2 linked regions of the Callithrix jacchus genome follow. The protein of the gene in region 2 interacts with the protein of the main gene of each other region in a pairwise test. Links are inferred from orthologs where the notes say so. Each region holds a gene or a part of one and is shown on either strand. Other genes may lie near its edges.

What was found.
Region 1: the proteins of MYO5B (region 2) and BNIP2 interact in binary tests that used the Homo sapiens proteins (3 or more experiments, as listed by UniProt). The two-hybrid records come from large-scale screens. The link is inferred for Callithrix jacchus from reciprocal best matches to the Homo sapiens genes MYO5B and BNIP2.

The regions. Positions count from the first base shown.
Region 1 is NC_133509.1:6,427,504-6,438,100, forward strand, and holds part of BNIP2 (BCL2/adenovirus E1B 19 kDa protein-interacting protein 2), read right to left. Parts: 5' UTR 10,567-10,597; coding exon 10,517-10,566; intron 8,173-10,516; coding exon 8,105-8,172; intron 7,624-8,104; coding exon 7,447-7,623; intron 5,778-7,446; coding exon 5,601-5,777; intron 2,620-5,600; coding exon 2,517-2,619; intron 1,199-2,516; coding exon 1,067-1,198; intron 1-1,066.
Region 2 is NC_133514.1:92,986,701-92,997,297, reverse strand, and holds part of MYO5B (unconventional myosin-Vb), read left to right. Parts: intron 1-857; coding exon 858-1,009; intron 1,010-2,895; coding exon 2,896-2,985; intron 2,986-5,566; coding exon 5,567-5,717; intron 5,718-7,450; coding exon 7,451-7,736; intron 7,737-8,359; coding exon 8,360-8,534; intron 8,535-10,135; coding exon 10,136-10,216; intron 10,217-10,597. UniProt on the Homo sapiens protein: May be involved in vesicular trafficking via its association with the CART complex. The CART complex is necessary for efficient transferrin receptor recycling but not for EGFR degradation.

The DNA.
Region 1 (10,597 bases), on a different chromosome or scaffold from region 2:
TGTGAAGGCAGAGAAATATGCATGGGCGAGATGACCACAGAACAAAAACAAATCAGATCTAACTCGTGTTCTTATGAAATTTAAAGTTTTGATTAAAAATGAAAGGTATTATCCTGGACATCTTCTTTGTAAATGACTAAATGAAAACTTATTGTATTACGTGTATTTCACACATCAAGTTATATAATCACAGGAGCTAGCCGATGTCAAATTTAGATGTGAAGAGGAAATTATCAATGGTACAGACTTGATTTAAATTAGCCATGGCAAGATCAAACCAACTGGAAGAACACACTCCTTCCATTAAGTACTAGTGACTAACTCCCAAGAGAATACACTGCTAAGCCAAAGAAAGATTACAACTAAACAAGCATCATTAAGAAACCTAAGACTGAGCGCCGTGGCTCATGCCTGTAATCCCAGCACTTCGGGGGCTGAGGCAGGTGGATGGTTTCAGGCCAGGAGTTAGAGAACCAGCCTGGGCAACATGTTGAAACGCTGTCTCTACAAAAAATACTAAAATTAGCTGGCTGTGGTGATACATGCCTGGAGTCCCAGCTACCTGGGAGGCTGAGGTGGGAGAATCATCTGAGCCTGGAAGGTCACAGCTACAGTGAGCAGAGATTGCACCACTGCAGTCCAGCCTGGGTGACAGAGTGAGACCCTGTCTCAAAGCAAAGCACAAAACAAAAACATACAACAAGCTGAGCACTATAAATGAGGCAAAGCTCAGAATGTCATAACATAGGAAACATATGACATTCTCCATCCTTTCCCAAGATGTAAACAGTAGAAAAGTGTTCAATGTGGAGAAAATGTCTCCTTATAAACGAGGAGAAATGTGGAGCTACTTTACGAATTAAGGTTATTCTTTACAGAAAAATCAAAATTGATTTCCCTCGTAACGTTCTAAAATGCTATCTTCAGAAAACAGAAACCTCTCATGAAATTAATAAATGAAATTTTAAAAATAAATGTTTTTAAATAGCAACAGAAAACAAAGTTTGATCTACTAAAGCCATTATAAAAACTTTCCAGACTAGCTTTTAACTTGTGTTTGTATTACCTTCTATCGATTTGCTGATAACATTTCCTGAGCCACCCCAGACTGGGCATTTTTCTTCGAGTTGTCGCACCATTTAAATAAACGATCATGTAGTTCTCTGCTACCAATAGCTCCAAAGTGCCAATAACATATCTGTAAAAAACAGATTAAGTTTAAGCCTTAAAATCACTGTGTAGAACTGAACTAGAGTCTCCATGTACAATTTCTTTCTCTCCTCTACAAGGAAAGCAAACAATGAAAATGCTCAAACTGCATTAGCTGGTATTACGATCATTTTAAAATGTTACTTTTTAAGAGATATATATGAAAATGTTTTTAGAAGAAAATGATTTGCTTCTGGGATCTGCTTCAAAAGTATATACTGAGGGGAGAAGTGGGAACGAACTTTAAACTGATAATTGTTGAACATTTGATTTACTTCTCTTTACCCTTGTGAATGTTTAAAATTTTCCACAATAAAGTTTTTAAAAACTGGATTAACCCGAGAAACAGAATGATCCTGTGGAAACAGAACTGATTCAGCTCAGTTATACTGGCCTTCTAGGGGTGAATGTAATTTAGCCACATGATTTTGAGACAAAAATCACTTCTTCACACTTAATGTACCTGCAAATGTAAAATTAAAAAGCTGGGATAGGTGGGGCATGGTGGCTTACTTGAAGCCTGGAGTTTGAGACCAACCCTGGCAACCTAGTCAGATCCTGTCTCTACCAAAAATAAAAAAAGTCAGGTGGATGTGGTGACATGTGCCTGTAGTCCCGGCCACTAGGGAGGCTGAGGTAGGAGGATGGCTTGAGCCCGTGAGGTCAAGGGTGCAGGGAGCCGTCGTTGTACCAGTGAACTCCAGGAAGGGTGACACTGTGAAACTCCGTCTCAAAACAAAAAAAAGTTGGAACAACAAATCGGAGATATGACAATTTCCCAGTTTTAAAATGACAATTTTTCTCTTGAGTTGGAAAACTATTATCTCATAATGTCAGAGAATAAGGACTCATCTAGTCCCGTATCTAGTAACAAATACTTTTGCTTTACTCTTCATTTCTATCATTCACAAACTTGCACTTGAAAAATTCGGACACTTTCAGAACTGGGATGTTTATTTTTCTGAGAGAGGGTCTTACTCTGTCACCCCGACTAGACTGCAGTGGCAAAATCACAGTTCACTGCAGCTTTGACCTCACACGCTCAGGTGATCCCCCACGCCAGGCTCCTGAGTAGCTGGGGCTACAGGCCCTTATCGCCATGCCTGGCTAATTTTTTGTTTTTGTAGAGAGAGGGCTTTGTTATGTTGCACAGGCTAGTCTCCAACTCCTGGACTCAAGTGATCCGCCCACCTCAGTCTCCCAAGGAACTTGGATATTTATAATTTTTACACACCTTAAGTTTCTTAAGGTGTAGATCTAACTAGCTCAAAATTCTGTCCAAATGTTTTTGTTAAATATATACTTACTTAAAGAGATTGTCCATCAGGTATCTATAGTTAGGTTGACTACTTTCAGGCATGAAACAGACAGCAAACACGACAATGGCATTTAATCCATCCCCATAATATCCTGAAAAAGACACCAAACACACTATCACCAGCATGATTTCACTCTTAGGAATTTTCAGAAGACATCTGTATGATTGGTAAATTATAAATAAGAGTTTACCTCTCACAAACTTATGAATTAAAATGTATGTTTTGCAAATCTTATATGGTCTTACATAGAATTTTAAATTTCTTCTTCCCCAAAAGAGAACAGTAAAATTTAAAGAGGACAGTGGACAAAAAAAAAAAAAAACAAAAAAACCCCCAAGACCACTTAAATAAGCATACTTAAAACGTAGTCACATTTTATCAAGTAGACAAATACAGTGATATAACCCAATACAATACCAACACTATACAACATTTTAAAGTTTAATATACACACACACACACACACACACACATCACACACATATATATGCACACTTATGGTTAAAGTGGGTACTTTTTAATTTTAAAATATTGTGGAGATAGGCGTCTTGCTCTATTGGCCAGGATGGAGTACAGTGGCATAATCACAGCTCATGCAGCCTCGAACTTCTATGCTCAAGGGATCTTCCCACCTTACAGCCTCCAGAGGAGCTGAGGCTACAGTGCACACAAACATGCGTGGTTAATTTTTTTAAAAAATTTTTGTAGAGACAGAGTTTCAGTGTGTTGCTCAGATTGGTCTTGAACTCCTAGCCTTAAGCAGTCCTCCTCCTTTGGCGCTGGGCATGAGCCACCTCACCAGACCCATAAGTGGGTGATTTTTAAAACATAAGTTTTATATTTAAAAATGCTAGCACTGTATAGAATTTAGGACATCAAAACTAAATTAGGCCAGGCATAGTGGCTCATGCTTGTAACACAAGCACTATGGGAAGCTGAGGAAGGCAGATCACTTGAGGCCAGGAGTTGAAGATCAGCCTGACCAAAATGGCGAAACCTCATCTCTAGTAAAAATATAAAAAATTAGCTGGGAGTGGTGGTGTGGAACTGTAGCCCCAGCTACTTGGGAGGCAGAGGATGCAGTGAGCCGAGACTGCACCACTGCACTCCAGCCTGGGTGACAGAGTAAGACTTGGTTTCAAAAAAAAAAAAAGTAAATTACATCTCTGACATAATTTTCAGTAACAAAAAACAGTGCTAAAATGTCTATGCTTCAACTGCAGTCTTCAGATATTAAGCCTATAATTAGTAACAAACACATCTGCTGTAACTTTCATTTCTATTGTTTACAAATTTGCACGTGAAAAGATTTGAACATTTCAACAACATCAGAATCTTCGCTATCCTTCTTAAGCACTCAGTCACAAAATACATTGTGGTGATGCAAAAGGATAAGGTGGCCTTGATTACTTCCCCTACAAAAAAGTGCTATGTCTGAAAGATAAAGATGCAAGCTATAAATCAGGTCCTATAGTTCGATTCCTATAAGCTGGCGGAATAATGTGTGTCTGTGGGCTTCCAGATCCACATGATGCCATTTTCTTCATCTGAGTAAGACTAAATGAGGCAGAAGAATGCAACTACAAATATTCATGTGATTTCCTTTTTCAGATGAATGAAGACTATAGAAATAAGCAGGGGAATGCATTTGGCAGCGAGTAAATTAAGTGGAAATAACTTAGAAAAAAAAAATCAATCTGCTTGACCCATGTGCCCCGCTGTCCTGCGTTAGGAGAATTTAAAGTAGTATGACATACTCTATAGTGAGTTGTGTTCTGACTTGGCACTAACATTCCAGCACTATTTACAACACGCCTAGGTAAACTTCTATACATGGTGCTGTTAGACTGAAAGGATTTATAACTTAAACTTATATAGCTTTTCTTATTTCTTAAGGGACTTAAACCTTGTATTTTTGTATATCCCATAAATATGCAAAGTGGGTGCTCTATAAAAATGTGGAGTGAACTAGTTCTCTATTAAAAAATAATTTGTTCAGAATTTTAAGGTAAACTAAGAGTTACAAGTTTAAAAGTCCAAGTTTTACTTATATCCACAAAAAGACTTCAAGAATGTTCAAAGCCATTTGTTTATAATTGCCCAAGTTAGAAACAACTCACATGCACATCGAAAAAAAGAATGGATAAGCAAATTATGGTTTCTCCATGCAATGGAAAACTACTCAGCAATAAGAAGGAATGAACTGTGGACATGTGCAATCATATGGATTAATCTCAAAAACGTCATGCTGAAAAGTAGACCAAAGAATGCATAGGATGATTTTAGTTACCATACATGAAATTCTAGAACAGGCGAAACTAATTGGGGGTAGGTATAATAGTGGCTACTGGAAGTGAGTATTTACTGGGAAGGGGTATTAAAAAATTCTTCTGGGACACTAAAAATGTTCTATACATTTAGGGGTGTGGGTTATATACATGGATATGTATTTGCCAAAACTCACTGAACTGTACACTTAAGATCAGAGCACTTCACTGTTTATAACTTAGGGAGAAAGGACAGTCCCAGTTTTCGGTGGCCTGATGACAGTTAAAAAAATTTTTTTTGAGACAGGGTCTGTCAAAAAACAAAACAAACAAAAGAAAAAACTGGAGTGCAGTGGCATGATCACGGCTCACTTGCAGCCTCAACTTCCCAAGCTCAAGCTCTCTCTCCTCCCACCCCATATGCCACTGCTTCTGGCTATTATTTATTTATTTATTTTTTTGTGGCAACCATGTCTACGTTGCCCAATCTGGCCTTGAACTCCTGAGCTCAGGTAATCCTCCTGCCTCAGCCTCTCAAATTGCTGGGATTATGGGCCTGAGCCACTGTGCAAGCTGACAGTGTTCCCTACAGATTCTTTTGTACTTTTTCAACTTACGGTATGCATATAATGATTTTAAATGGTAGCTTCATTCTTCTACTTTAAACCTGTCATGTTTCTAAACTGATATGAGAAATGTTTATTATTCTTTCAAAATTACATGATATCTCTAGGCAGAGTTTCTAAAAGCATTTAGAAATCTGATATTGCATTAGGCAATCTGAGAAATCCTCAGCAACTCTTACCCCCATGGCTGATAACTTTTTTATAGGGTTCAATCGCTTTCATGTCAACCCTGTGGTCCTGCTCTCCAATCCTGAACATACGCCAGCGTCGTCCATCTTCTTTTTCCTCTGCTGCTGTATATTCAGTAATTGAGCCTTTCCTAATTACTTCAGTAGTCTTGGGTTTTGGAAGATCATCTGTGAAAATAAAAAGTTTTTGAATCACAAATTGTTATACAACAAAAATCAAATTATACGTTAACCACTTTACTATCCAGGTTTTTCAGAGAATTTTCATTCATGAGCACAATTTTATTTTATTTTATATATTTTTTTTAAATAAAGATGGGGTTTCACCATTTCGGTCAGGCGGGTCTTGAACTCTCAACCTCAGGTGATTCGCCCGCCTTGGCCTCCAAAGTGCTTGGATTACAGGCATGAGCCACCACGCACGGCCAGTGAGTGCAATTTTAAACGTCTCTTTCATAATGGAGGAAAAGGCTTATTCTTAATTTGAGGCCATCTTAAATCATTGGAAATCATGGTTCTTTAACTTTTTTTATTGCCCAATTCAACAAAAAAAACCACCTAATCACAGTGCAATGTATATCCAAAGTTCAGAAAATATTAATTCGTAGAGTCATCAAAATCTTAGCACACTGGCCTTACGACACCTTCCAGATTCAACTTGTGACAGTGCTGTCCCTGGCAGTTATGACTCTAGGTTACTTCAAGAAGCTATCTGGGAGCCAATGTTGTTGTTGCTGAGCACACAAATTAACTGTAATACCAGATAGGAAGTGGTTAACTAGCAGTGATCACTTCTCATTTGATCAGCTTTATAAAGCAGAAATGTATTTACGATACTCTGAGGTACACATGCAGAAGTCTATTTAAATTAGCATTGGCCAAAGCATAAGCACGAATGATCAGGTGTAATTTATGTTTTGAGATTGCAGCTTAGCTGATTTTTAATTTAGTAATGATTTTCAAAATTTCAGTATTATGGTCCTTACCAAAAGATGGGGGAAGGGGGGAACCTACTGCATGTTAGTTGTTTCCAAGACAAAGCTGTTAACGGAAAATATCCTTCCAGGAAATGACTACAGCAGCATTGAAGAAAGAAGAGACAAAACACACAGGCACAAAACGGTTTCAGTATCTTCATAAACTATTGCTTACTACTGGACTGTTCAATGAACCAGTGAAACAGAGAAGAAAACAGAAATCCAAAATACAGCACATCACACTTTGTTATAGTAAAATACTGAATGCCAAACACTACTTTGGGAAAAAAACCATTTTCAAGATGGAAAAACCATACATAAAAATTATAACAAGTATATAAAAGATATGTAGACAATTTTCTAATTAAAGAAAGCATGCAAAGTAAAACACAGGACAATTCCTTTGAATTACAAATAATTAATGACAATGAATACCAGGTCTGGGGGCTAAAAGTATACGTTGATTTAAGTTGGTCACTTTACAAAGTAGAACAATACCAGGCAAGCCTATTTAAAAAGTCGCCCCCAAAATGCCTTTCAGAACCCCCTTCCCACAAACTGTTAAGTATATGTTGCTTCAAGTTTCTTACTTGATTCACTGAAACTCAGCATGCCATAGTCATCAGCAATATTTGTTAAGCAACTATGAAAGAAATGTGACAGCACTGGGCAAACAAGAGTGGGGGAAACCACTGGTGTCATCTACTATATACGGTTTTAAAGTCTGTGAGAATATTCAAGTGTTAGCAGAATTTCCTATCTTAGTAACAAATAAATGAACTTCAGAAAGAATCACACACTTCAAGCAAAATCCCTGAATACATGAATGAAGATGAGATTAAAAACAGTGAAACATTTACCTTCCCACTCAAACTCATTACTATTCTCAGAGGGTGTGTCTAAGCCATCTAACTCAATCTCCCCACTTTCATCCAAATCGTCCGACAACACAGAGCCATCGCTAGGATCCAGTGTCAGGCTAATGTCTGGAGGCATTAGTTTCTTTCTCACTTTATTTTCATTGACTTCTAGGGAACCTGGAATTGGAAAATAAAGAAAAAGATATGTAACAAAAAACGCTTAGATATTAAAGATGAATATGAAACATTTTAACTACTCCACTCGGGGAAAAATAGTATCAATTAAACATAACTTCAAAGCACCTACTTACAAAATTTTGATTCTGATCACTCCTGCTTCTACATTGTTGGCAAAAGCTCAATAAATTATCAATGTTTTTTAAATAGAGGCAGACCTTATAGAGACCTCTTACCAATAAAAATGATCTCCTCCCACCTGTTTACTGTAAAACTTTCCAAAAACCAAGCATATGTTTTGGGAAGTTAATTTTTTAACGCATTCTAAAAATGCTTTCCTCAATGTTAAGCTTATACATTGACTTCTACAATGGAATACAAACTCAAGTTGGTTTTTTTTTTTTTGGATAAAAAAATGTGTTTAAAAAAAAAAATCACAAAGTCCATCATTTCATTGAAAGTAAAAGTGTTAAGCTCTTACCAGGCTGGTTCTCTGGTCCAGTTATAGCCAGTATATCTGCTTCGGTACTATCATCTTCTGGTAAAGGTCTAGAAGACACAGGCACACTTTTTAACGCAGAAATTAAGAAAGAATTTTTTTCAAGTTCAATCTATTAAACATACAGCTTACAGAAATACATATGTGGAAAATGGAATGAAGCGGTGTTGTTTTTGAGACAGGGACTTGCTCCGTCACCTAGGCTGGAGCACAATGGCACAATCATGGCTCACTTCAGCCTTAACTCCTAGGCTCCAGAGATCCTCCTATTTGGGACTACAGGTGCGTGCCACCACACACAGCTAATTTTTAGCAGAGTCAGAGTCTTGCTATGTTGCCCAGGCTGGCCTTTTAGGCTCAAACGATTCTCCCGCCTCAACTTCCAAAAATGTTGGGATTACAGGAGTGAGCCACTGTGCCCAGCCTAAGCAGTGTTTAAGATAAAGCCTCAGCTTTATGAGTAGCTAGGACTACAGTTGCACACCACCATGCCCGGCTAATTTTTAGGGTTTTTTTGTAGAGACCAGGTATTGATTGCTATATTGCCCAGGCTGGTCTCAAGTGATCCTTCTGCCTTGGCCTCCCAAAGCACTGGGATTATAGGCATGAGCTGCTATGCTTGGTTACGCCTTAAAAATTCTCAGACTGTCAGAGCTCACTTATTACATATAAGTAACACAAAAACAGATATAAATACCTCACGTGTAGGTATTATAGAATTATAAAACGTAAAAATTTTAAACAACTGTAACTGAAACGCGCAAATATAATGCGACATATGATGCAATGTATGAAGCTCAAGTTTGACTCAAGAGACTCAGTAACAATGGTTCATTTCTTCTGAGATCAGCGTTCCTATGTTACTATCACCACCACGTGCAACAGAGACTCAGGTCTCCTCTCAGCTGTCCAACTTCCAACTGCTAAGGCACCTGATTATGGACTAGGATATCTTCTGGCCACTATGCATGGAAGCACTATTTCATTATAAGTCTGCCTTTGCCTCTTTTCATTAGCCTACCTGGTGCCAATACAATTGTAAACACGAATGCAACATGTCAAGGTGGCTGGCCAGATGAGGTAGAAAACCCTTATTAATTTACTTAGTAAGGCTTTTCTGGCGGGGGGAGGGGATCCCACAAAATTATTATTATTTTTGAGTCAGAGCCTGGCTGTGTCACCCAGGCTCGAGTGCAATGGCACGATCTCACCTCACTGCAACCTCTGGCTCCCGGGTTCAGGCAATTCTCATGCGTCTGGCTTCTAAGCAGCTGGGACTACAAGTGCATGCCACCACACTTAGCTAATTTTTTGTATTTTTAGTAGAGATGGCGCTTTGCCACGTTGGCCAGGTTGGCCTCAAACTCCCGGCCCTAAGTGATCTGCCCACCTCAGCCTCCCAAAGTCTTGGGATTACAGATGTGAGCCACTGCACCTGGTCATAAAATTAAAGAAAAATTTTAAAGACAACTAAAGACCGCCTTCTCTGAGGAATCCCTCAGACTTAGTTTAAAGAGAAAAAAACGGGCCACGTGTAGTGGCTCACGCCTGTTATCCCAGCACTTTGCAAGGCCAAAGTGGGTGAATCACGAGGTCAGGAGCTCAAGACCAGGCTGGCCAATATTGTAAAACCCATCTCTACTAAAAATACAAAAAAAAAAAAAATTAGGTGTGCTGGCACATGCCTGTAATCCCAGCTACTTGGGAGGCTGAGATAGAAGAACTGCTTGTCCCTCGGAGGCGGAGGTTGCAGTGAGTTGAGATTGTGCCACTGCACTCCAGCCTGGGCAACAGAGCAAGACTCCATCTCAACAAGAACAACAAGCAGGAGACAAACGTTTGGAGACTTGAATGATCAAAACAAAAATGAAAGATCATAGAAGACTACATGTATGTTTGGTTGGAAAGTAAGATACAAGAGAGTCCATCTAACTGTTGAAAAGAAACTTCTCCTTCCTAGAATCACAGGATCACCTTGGATTACTGAGTTTAAGAAGCCAAATATTCACCTAAAAAGTGATATCTCGGAGGGGCATGGTAGTTCACGCCTGTAATCCTACCACTTTTGGAAGCCCAGGTGGGTGGATCACGAGGTCAGGAGTTCGAGAACAGCCTGGCCAATATGGTGAAACCCAGTCTCTACTAAAAACACAAAAATTAGCTGGGCATGGTGGCACATGCCTGTAGTCCCAGATACTCGGAAGGCTGAGGCAGGAGAACTGCTTGAACCCAGGAGGCGGATGTTGCAGAGAGCTGAGATTGCAATACTGCACTCCAACCTGGACGACAGAGTGAGACTCTGTCTCAAAAAAAAAAAAACAAAAAAGTGATATCTCAATAAAGAACTTTGGAAGTTTTGTTCTAAAGTTGTTTTCATTTAAAAGCGCTGCTCACATTGGAAAATCTTCATCTTGCCATTCTTCTTTAAGTTCCACACCTTCCATCCTCAGCCTGGATTCAATGTCAGCTACAAAC
Region 2 (10,597 bases):
TCCCCCCAGTTCTCTGGGCTCCTACCACCACTTGTTGCCTTAAGCCTGGCTCTCCTTGCATGGTCTGGAATAGAAAACAGTCTGACAGCTGCTTCCTGTTCTCCAGGGCCTTTTGCAAAAAGGACCAAAAGCTGAGTCTGCAGTTAATGGGGAGACTCACAAGGCCCTTCCAGTTCAGCCAGAGCAGCCCTTGCCCAGGCAGGGGCAGGACTGTGGGATACAGAGGAGAGCAGTTGGGGGAAGTACGAGAGCGGCTGGAGAGATGCGTGCTGAGCAGCGGCACTGGGGAGGGGTCGGGGCCTGCCGGGTCTATTCAGCTGTGAGGTTGGGCAAGCACTGCTGGGTAACTTGTTCCTAACTGATGGGCCAGAGGTTGTTCCAGGCTCCCCAGCCCTCAGGATGTTGGCCCTGTCTTTGGGAACATACAATTTGTCTAATTCTGGAGCTAGCCCTCGCCTTCTGGAAGTGGTGATGGCCGAGAATCAGGAGTTCCCACCTGGTGTGGGAACTAGGTCCTGTCCTCAGCCTTCCTTTTGCCATGGGCCCCTGTTGGCAGCGGATCAATGCATCGTGTAACCTGCAGGCGCTTTTCCTCCATGTTATAAGCCTGAGGTGTTAGAAGCCTGTTTGAGTGTTGTAGTACAATTAGGAGTGTGGTTTTGTTTGTTTGGGTTTTTAACCACAAATATCTGAAACTACTGGTTTCAGGCTCAGCAGTTTGTGTACCCTGGGTGGCTTCTCTCCCAATCCTCTTTGAGACCTCTATTCCTAGATGAGCTGTGGGGAGATACTGAAAACAGCTCTATTCAGATGAGGATTCTGACAGCCTCCCCGCTTGCTGCTGTCGTTGCCCTTAGACTTGAAGCCCCAGATGCTGTCGGGTGCGGTGCCCTGTCTCCCCGCCTACATCCTCTACATGTGCATCCGGCACGCAGACTACACCAACGACGATCTCAAGGTGCACGCCCTGCTGACCTCCACCATCAACGGCATTAAGAAAGTCCTGAAGGTAAGCGGCCTCTGCAGAAGACCATGGTTTGTGATGGGCGGGCAAAGCCAGCCACTCACCATTGCTTCTCTGTGTCTGGGTTTTTGATGTGCGGGCAAAGCCAGCCACTCACCATTGCTTCTCTGTGTCTGGGTTTTTGATGGGCGGGCAAAGCTAGCCACTCACCATTTCTTCTCTGTGTCTGGGTTTGGCTGTAGTGAATTCTCCCCAGGCTCCAACTTTGAAGGTAAATGAGGCACAGAAGCATCCATGTAACCCAATGCCTGGCAGTTCCCAGAGAAGGATGCTTAAGCCCAGCAGTGTCAGGAAGCCCAGGACTGTGGTGTAGGTAGCCCTCCAGCCCCTCCCTGCTGAAGCTCCAGACATGCCCAGAACCTACAGAAGCCTTGGCCTGCCCACTGCCAGATATGCTAGGGAGATATCCTGCTGCTGCCAGGGGTGTGTGGGCCTTGCCCTGGACCAAGTTTGGGGACACCCCTGGAACATGGGCCCTCTCCACCTTTCTTGAGTGCTTGCTTCCCTGGGGGATGAGACAGGGAGAGTTGTGACATCATCACCTTCCAAGGTAAGGCAGCCCACAGGACAGGGCTGCCTGCAGGCTGTTAAAGTTGCTCAGCAATGCCACCTATAGGCACAAGGCTTTTGGTGAATGTAGTGCAGCTGCCACTGAGAAACAGGCTGACCTGCAGGGAGGTGAGGCCTTTCCACTCAGGGTGAGGGCCAGGCAGTGGGAGGTGAGATTCCTGAGGGAGATGAGCCCTCAATAAGAGGGATTTCTGCCTTCTAGCAGGCCTGTGCCCGGAGTGGTACTGCTCTTAGAGACCGTCTTAGTTCTCACACACTACTGCTTCCAGGATACAAGCCATTCTCAAAAGCTCTGAGTCCAGACCAATTCTGGGGTCCACTGAGCTGCTGGTTGCTACTCTGAGAATTCCAGAGCCAGCCTTTAAGTCTGGTTTCCTGCCCTCAGTAGCTGCATTGTCCACAGGCAATCTTATCCACTCATGGCCCTAAAGCATACATCTCTATGCTAGTGGCTCTCAGGTTTGTGTCTCCAGCCTTGACCCTCTTTCATGAGTACCATCTGGCTGGAATCTTGGGCCAGTCTAGGCCAGTTTAAGGCTGACACAAATGTCACTTCCTTAGGAAAGCCTTCCCTAATTCCAAGCTAAAAGAGCATGTCCCAGTCCCACCAGTCACTTTCTATTCAACCTCATTATTATTTTGTCGTCGTTGTTGTACCTCACACCATTCTGACATTTAAATAATGACACTTATTTGACAGAATGAGCTGCATGAGGTCATCAGTGCTAATGCAGCAGCTGTCTCATAGCTGTTTGGGTTGCTGAACAGGCTTTTTCACCTAGTTAGGGTTTGTAGCCTTTTCCTAGAGAGTTAAAGCATGACACAACTGTCCTCTAGATAATGGGACACCAAAATATTTTGTTGGCATGCTCTTTTAGAATCCCTTGTATCGAGTAACCAGCAGTTTAGAAACAGAGCCAGCTAGCCCAGGCAGTTAGACGAGAGCCCAGGGCTGCTGGGGCTGAGCCTCATCTGTCACTCAGCTTTGCATTCATTCTTCAGCCATGGAAGGTGGCCTGTCCTTTCTGTGTGTCAATGATACAATTTTGAAGGACAGCTGTATGTGCACCACTGATCAGGGGACCAAGACAGGGGTTCTGTGTACATGCTTGTTGGCAGAGGATTAGTCACACAGCCTCTCAGCAATGGGTCTCATTCCCGTGACTGGCAAGTGCCCTGCCCACCCTCAGGGCTGCTCAGGAATGCTGGATAAGAGTAGGAAATGTGGGGAGAGAGGTACCGAGGAAGCATCTCACCAGACGGGAGCCACTTAAGCTGGGGATGTCCTTTTCTTTTCACAGAAGCACAATGATGACTTTGAGATGACATCATTCTGGTTATCCAACACCTGCCGCCTTCTTCACTGTCTGAAGCAGTACAGCGGGGATGAGGTGAGTGGGGAGCTGGCCACCCAGGAGGCGTCCCTTCTTCATTCAAATGCGGTTGAGAAGTGCTTTGTATCCCCTCAGGAGAGGTCAGTTGGGTCTTCGGAGCACCCTTGGGGACCTCAGACCATGGGCACACCTTATCATACCTGGTGGCTGGAAGCAGGAATAAAGCCAGCCACAGGAGACCTGCCTCCAGGAGACCTTGATGAGCCCAAGGGGCCTCAGAAATTACTCCTGGGTTATGTAAGTAGGGTCTTCATAACCCATCATCCATAGAGGCCCTGGGAGTCTCCATGAAAACCTTGTAACCTTCTATTTCTTAAGCAGCTCTAGAAGAGCCCCACTGCAATGGATACTGGCAGGAAGCTCAGTTGCTTAGTGGGTCACCTGTCTCCTAAGCCATCCAAATTATCTGTCCATTTCAAGATAGACAAAGATGGCCGCAAGAAAAGAGGCACCCATAATCAGAACTACATGTGTACAAACTAGCCTGGAGGCCCAGCTCCATGCCTTCATCCAAATTGGATTCCTTGACCTGAGGCCCAACTGACCCCATCACTTCACATTCCACACTGAACCTGTAAGGCCCAGCTTTTTCTGGAACTCACATTCCCAGCTTTGGTCCCTGAAAGAACTTCTCCAGTGCTCTGCACTCTGCCCAATGACTTAGTAATACGTGACTTGTTTCCATTCTTGTTTCTCTGGTGAGAATCCCAAGTCGTTCCAGACATGCTCACTCACAGATTCCTGTAGGTCTTCCTGATATTTCCTCCGCTTCCTTTCACATATCCCACCATCTACCCTTCCCCAGGTCAAGGCATAGTGTAAACCAAAATAGTGTGACCATTTTTAAAGCTTTATTCCATCTTTTGGAATAAAGAACCAATTTTGACAGACCCTTCTCCCTGGATTATAACAGGATGTGCCTTTCCATTCAGTGTTACCTTCTTTTTTTATTATTATTTTTTTATTGCATTTTAGGTTTTGGGGTACATGTGAAGAACATGCAAGATAGTTGCATAGGTACACACGTGGCAGTGTGATTTGCTGCCTTCCTCCCCTTCACCTATATCTGGCATTTCTCCCCATTCTATCCCTCCCCAACTCCCCAAACCCCGCTGTCCCTCTCCTATTCCCCCCAACAGACCCCAGTGTGTAGTGCTCCCCTCCCTGTGTCCATGTGTTCTCATTGTTCAACACCCGCCCATGAGTGAGAACATGCGGTATTTCATTTTCTGTTCTTGTGTCAGTTTGCTGAGAATGATGTTCTCCAGGTTCATCCATGTCCCTACAAAGGACATAAACTCATCATTTTTGATTGCTGCATAATATTCCATGGTGTATATGTGCCACATTTTTCCTGTCCAGCCTATCATCTATGGGCATTTGGGTTTATTCCAGGTCCTTGCTATTGTAAACAGTGCTGCAGTGAACATTTGTGTGCATGTGTCCTTATAGTAGAACCTTCTTTGTGGTTGGCTTGACTCCATATCTCTCCTAGGAATAAGAACTGCATTTGATGGCCTGCTTTTATTCTAAAAGAGATGGGCAAAAGGTTGAAGAAACAGCCATTTCAAACCACATGCCTTCTGTTACAAAATCATAATATCCAAGCATTTACTTGAAGCATAGAACTACATGTAATGTTATTTCATTGAGGTCCATCACTTTACCCAATGTTCTATACATTCTAAATAAGGCTAGGGCAGGGCCTAGAACTCTATTACATTGGGCTATTGCTTCAGGTGCTTATATTCTCTGGGGCAAGACCTGAACCACAGCATAACCAGATCCGTGTAGTCCACAAACAAGGAAGAATGAACAAATCTATCTCCGTGATTACAGTTATCCCCTCTTCTGCCTGGTTTTGTTCATATTAAGATGGTTTTGTATTTGACACAGTACAACTGGCCTTGCTGAAGATGGTCACACTTTTGGGAGCACTAATCTTTTTGGCTGCTCTTGGTTTCTCCCTTGCCCTGTCTGAAAAGGACATTGGTCACATGCGTCCTTCTGATATCAGCAGTTCTCTTAACTTACATGTTATTTCATCTGATTAATATGGAAAGCTAAGAGGACACACTGCTGTAGCTATGAAATCAATTTAGTTCATCTGTTCATTCTGATACCCAGTGATAGAATCTGTAAAAGATGTCCCCCTACACAAACATACCATCTGGCCCATGGCCACACTCCTTTAGAGGCTGCATCTCATGTAACACTTTAGGGGGACCTGGTATATTGGGGAGAGCACTGGACGAAGTTAGAGAGCAGGGATCCCTTTCTCTGGACCTGGTACCAACCTGGGTTTTGTTACCATAGGGAAATCACTTCACTTCAGGGATTTGGACTGAATGATTCAGGCCTTCTCTCTCATTTGAGTTTTTCTACTACCTTGAAGTTCAAGGGTCATCAGTGAGGCCTCAGAGAACTGACAGGGTTTTGTAAAACATCAACTACATAGAAAGGACATTGGTAGGTCCCCCGCCCACCAAATAGATGACTAAAGTGACCAGAGCCCCGGAAGTGGTGCTGGGCCTAGCAGACCACAGAATCTCAGTAGTGCACGCCTCTCCCTCTGCAGGGCTTCATGACTCAGAACACTGCAAAGCAGAACGAACACTGTCTTAAGAACTTTGACCTCACTGAATACCGTCAGGTGCTGAGTGACCTTTCCATTCAGATCTACCAGCAGCTCATTAAAATTGCCGAGGGCGTGTTACAGCCGATGATAGGTAAGCTGGCAGCAGGAGAGCTCCATCACTCATCATGGGGTCTGAAATGAGAGGAAGATGTGGTCAGCACCCTCTGCCTTTCGGGAACCAGATGTATTAAACACAGAACCTTCACAGTGAAGGCAGAACTGAGGGGTGCACATCGTGCTTAAAAGAGCTGTGAAATCCCATGAAATTAACGATGCTAGGGTATTTGACACAGGGAAAGAGGCATAGAGGACTTTCCCTTTATCTCTCTTTTTGTAATATATTGTATTTTTCCATATTAATTTTAATACATAATAAATATAAACTCAAAGGTACAAATGCATATACAGTGGAAAACTCCTCTTAACCTATTACGAACTTGATTCATGGAAAAAAGAAAGCAGAAGTGTGTTCATGCAAAAGGACACAGCAGTAGGCACGATGCAGCAGTATTTATTAGACACGTGCTTTGAACCAAGCAGTGTGTTTGGGCACTGAACATGAAATAAGAATCAAAAAATGAGAGCAGTTACATTTTCTGCTGTTCCCAGGTTCAAGCGATTCTCCTGTCTCAGCCTCCCGGAGTAGTGAGGACTACAGGCACACACCACCATGCCCGGCTAATTTTTGTATTTTCACAAAATGTTGTGTAGATGCGTTATTCACTGTGCTCTTCAAAGGCTGGGAAGGAAACTGCTTCCCCAGGTTCTCACAGCACAAGTAGGTTATGGGTGAATCTCAAGAAGGACAGATCTAGAAATACATTACTTGAAATGAGGTTTATTCCAAACCCTCCTTCCTGTAAATCTTTTTATAAGGTACCAGACAGAGGGAGAACTGACATATCAACCTGGAGATACTCAGATTAATGTGACGGTTAATAGCACCAGTTCTGGAGTCAGACAGACTTGGGTTTAAATCCTAGCCCTGCCACTCCTCATCAGTGTGTCTTATCTGAGTGCCTAACTCAGGCAAGTTATTTAACGTCTTTATGCCTCAACTGCCTTGTAAAAATGGGTAGTACTGCCGGGTGTGGTGGCTCACACCTGTAATCCTAGCACTTTGGGAAGCCAAGGCAGGTAGATCACGAGGTCAGGAGGTTGAGACCAGCCTGGCCAACATAGTGAAACCCCATCTCTACTAAAAATACAAAAATTAGCTGGGCATGGTGGCGTGTGCCTGTAGTCCCAGCTACTCAGGGAGGCTGAGGCAGGAGAATCGCATGAACCCGGGAGGCAAAAGTTGCAGTGAGCCAAGATTGCGCCACTGCACTCCAGCTTGGGCAACAGAGTGAAATTTCATCTCCAAAAAAAAAAAAAAAGAGTAGTACTTCATAGAGTTGTTGGAAGATTAAAAGAGATACTGAACATAAAGCCCCTAGTGGTCTGTCAGTAGGTATGACAGACCAATGATGTTCATATTTACTTAGTCAGTGGCGGGGCCAGGGCGACTCCCAAGTTGCTCAATTCTCAAACTGTGGACTTTAGCACAGGCAATACTGGATCGAGCTGGTACATGCCCATCATCTTTGTCTCATCGCCGATAAATTTAAGTGAAAATGCTGTCCACAGTTGTTTTATTCCATATAGAAGTCAACACATTAGAAGTTCTTTGCCAAATGTTAAAAGTTCCTGAACGGGTCAACATTGCACAGCTCTAGATGGTATCACTGCTAAAGCCCCGAACATTAAATTATCTGAGTGGTCCAATGAGCTTTGCATTGTTCATGAGGAATGCAAGCTTCCCTAATTGTGCTTTTCTTTCAGTTTCTGCCATGTTGGAAAATGAGAGCATTCAGGGTCTATCTGGTGTGAAGCCCACTGGCTACCGGAAGCGCTCTTCCAGCATGGCAGATGGAGATAACTCATACTGCCTGGAAGCCATCATCCGCCAGATGAATGCCTTTCATACAGTCATGTGTGACCAGGGCTTGGACCCTGAGATCATCCTGCAGGTATTCAAACAGCTCTTCTACATGATCAATGCAGTGACTCTTAACAACCTGCTCCTACGGAAGGATGTCTGCTCTTGGAGCACAGGCATGCAACTCAGGTAAGAGAGGAGCACCCCAACAACACAGATAGAGTGGGTGCTCACTGACTCCAGCTAGAATCAGGACACAAGACTGCTGTTTCTAAAAATGAAATCCAAATCTAAGTGGCAATTCTTGTCTCCATCAGTCTGTGACTCAGGTCCATCACCTTTTTATCTGTTGGTGAAATCCATCAAACACTGAGATGGTGACTTGGTAAATAAATTAGTTCAAAGCTTAAAGATATTGACATACTCTAAGTTAAAGACTAAATACAAAGCAGATAGGTCAGAGAGAAAACTCAATGAGTTAACAGGCGTGAAGACTCACACAGAAGTATAAATACGGGGATGAATGTTTAAATACTTACAATTCAGTATATTTAATGCCTGTTTTTCACCACTAACTTATGTAGACACTTCAGGCATTTCATCTTTGCTTGATTTTATGTACCACTCATTCATTTATTCATTCTTTATTCAACAAATAGTTCCCTGAGTGCAAGGCATTTGCCATGCTTTTTAACCATGTGAGATCCATAATGACACTAGCTGCAGCTTACATGTAAAACACAACAGGTGTCCCCTTCTTGGTGAATTAGGAGGACCAGCTTAACACAGCTTGCTTTCTGCCTATGGCTAAGGTACAATATAAGTCAGCTTGAGGAGTGGCTTCGGGGAAGAAACCTTCACCAGAGTGGAGCAGTTCAGACCATGGAACCTCTGATCCAAGCAGCCCAGCTCCTCCAATTAAAGAAGAAAACCCAGGAGGATGCAGAGGCCATCTGTTCCCTGTGTACCTCCCTCAGCACCCAGCAGGTCCGATCATTCTGCATCTCTGTCAACCGCGATATTCCAAGCAAGCCCAGTGTCCATTCCAAATCCGTTCTTGTTAGTGGTTATTTGTTAGTGTGGTACTCCCACCCTTTATATACCCCTAATGATACAATTTTGAAGTGCAGCTGATGGGATATTCCTAGGTGAACCAAAGGCCATTTGTGTGTGAAACAAGATGCCATGAATACTGCTTTCTAGTCTCCCTATCCCTCTTACTCACTTTAAAAGATAAGACAGCAAACCCGCAAAACATTAAGCTTAGGTAAAAACTTTTTAAAATATAATGAATTCTGGAATATTTCTTATGTAGAAATTTATAAATTTTCAGAAATTGGCAGCATCCGGTATTTGCTTTCTTTACAACTATAATTGTAAGAAAAACCGGTTTATTTAAAACTAATTTCAATATGGTCACATTTCCACTCACACTCCATTTATATTGTTTTAAATGAAGTCATTAAGAACCTAGGGGCATTCAAATGTTACTTTCCTTATCCCTAAAAAATGTGTAACTATGAGTCAGTTGCAGATTTATCGCTAGTCCCTAAAAGATAAATAACAAAATCCAAACTCAGTACAGAAAAGTAAACACATCTTAATATACAAAGTTAACTTTTCCTTACCTCCTCCACTAGCTACTAAAAGATTAAATATTGAACTCTTAAGAAAACTGCCTCCTTTTGTACACATTTACAGAAAGTCTTCAAACATTTTTCTCCTTTTCTTTTTTTTTTTTTTTTTTTGAGACAGAGTTTCATTCTTGTTGGGACTGGAGTGCAATGGCACAATCTCAGCTTACTGCAATCTCCGCCTCCCGGATTCAAGCGATTCTCCTGCCTCAGCCTCCTAAGTAGCTGGGATTACAGGCACCTGCCACCATACCCAGCTAATTTTTTTTTTTTTTTTTAGTAGAGACGGGGTTTTGCCATGTTGGCTAGGTTGGTTTTGAACTCCTGACCTCAGGTGATCCACCCACCTCGAACTCCCAAAGTGCTGGGATTACAGATGTGAGCCACCACACCCGGCCACATTTTTTTCCCTTTTATATACATTTCACTTATATAAGTTTGCTTCTAGAATGTAGCCAGCATTGCATTTGGGCAGCCTACTTCCACCAAACCATTAGTAGGCAGACAAAAGAGTATCTCCTGTTCAAATTCTCATTTGTAAACAATTTTAGGAGATGGGGTAGTTAGGTGTTAACAAGACCTTTCTCATCTAAGGTAAGATCTACAGTACTCTTCAGAAGAAACCTTTAAATTACTAGTAGATAACAGGCTGAGTATTTCAGGCAACCGCATTCTAAACGCCTCCCATTGTGTATACCAGTGACCATAGTGAGAAGGGGCAGGTGGCTTTACAAGAGACATGAGTTCCGTGAGAGGGCTCAGATCCACCTGGCAAAGCTGTGGGCTCTAGTTACCTGGATGCAGGCTCCAAGTGTGAAGGTCAGTCCAGCTCTGTCTGTGTTGTGAGCCTTGTCTAAAGAGGATCATACTCTTGTCCCAATGTCCCATATTAAAGTTCAAAAGTTGTCTCATGTTCATTTAGTGCTGTGCTAAATTCTGTTTTTACCCCAATAGATTGTCAAAATTTTAAACCTTTACACTCCCCTGAATGAATTTGAAGAACGGGTAACAGTGGCCTTTATACGAACGATCCAGGTGAGTTTTAAAATGTTAATTTTATAAAGTCCTAGTCTAAGACTGTAAAGAAGTTGAAAATTTGGATTTCAACCTTGCTTCTCTTTATTACTAAAATACTAGTTACATTATATGCTAGGAGACTTTATATTCCTAAGCTTTCTATTTAGGTAAACATGAACCATATCACCCATGAGTAACTTAGTATTTACACACAGAAAACTCAACTTTTATCATCTCTGCCTCTCAGATTATAGACACAGTCTAAGCATAATTTACCACTAGCATGTTACTGAACTATTAGCACCAAATGGAATTAACAACGTAAGCAGAATATCAGCCCTAACCATAAATGGAACTAAGAAATGTTCTTTAAATAAAACAATTTGAGCTCTTAAATCT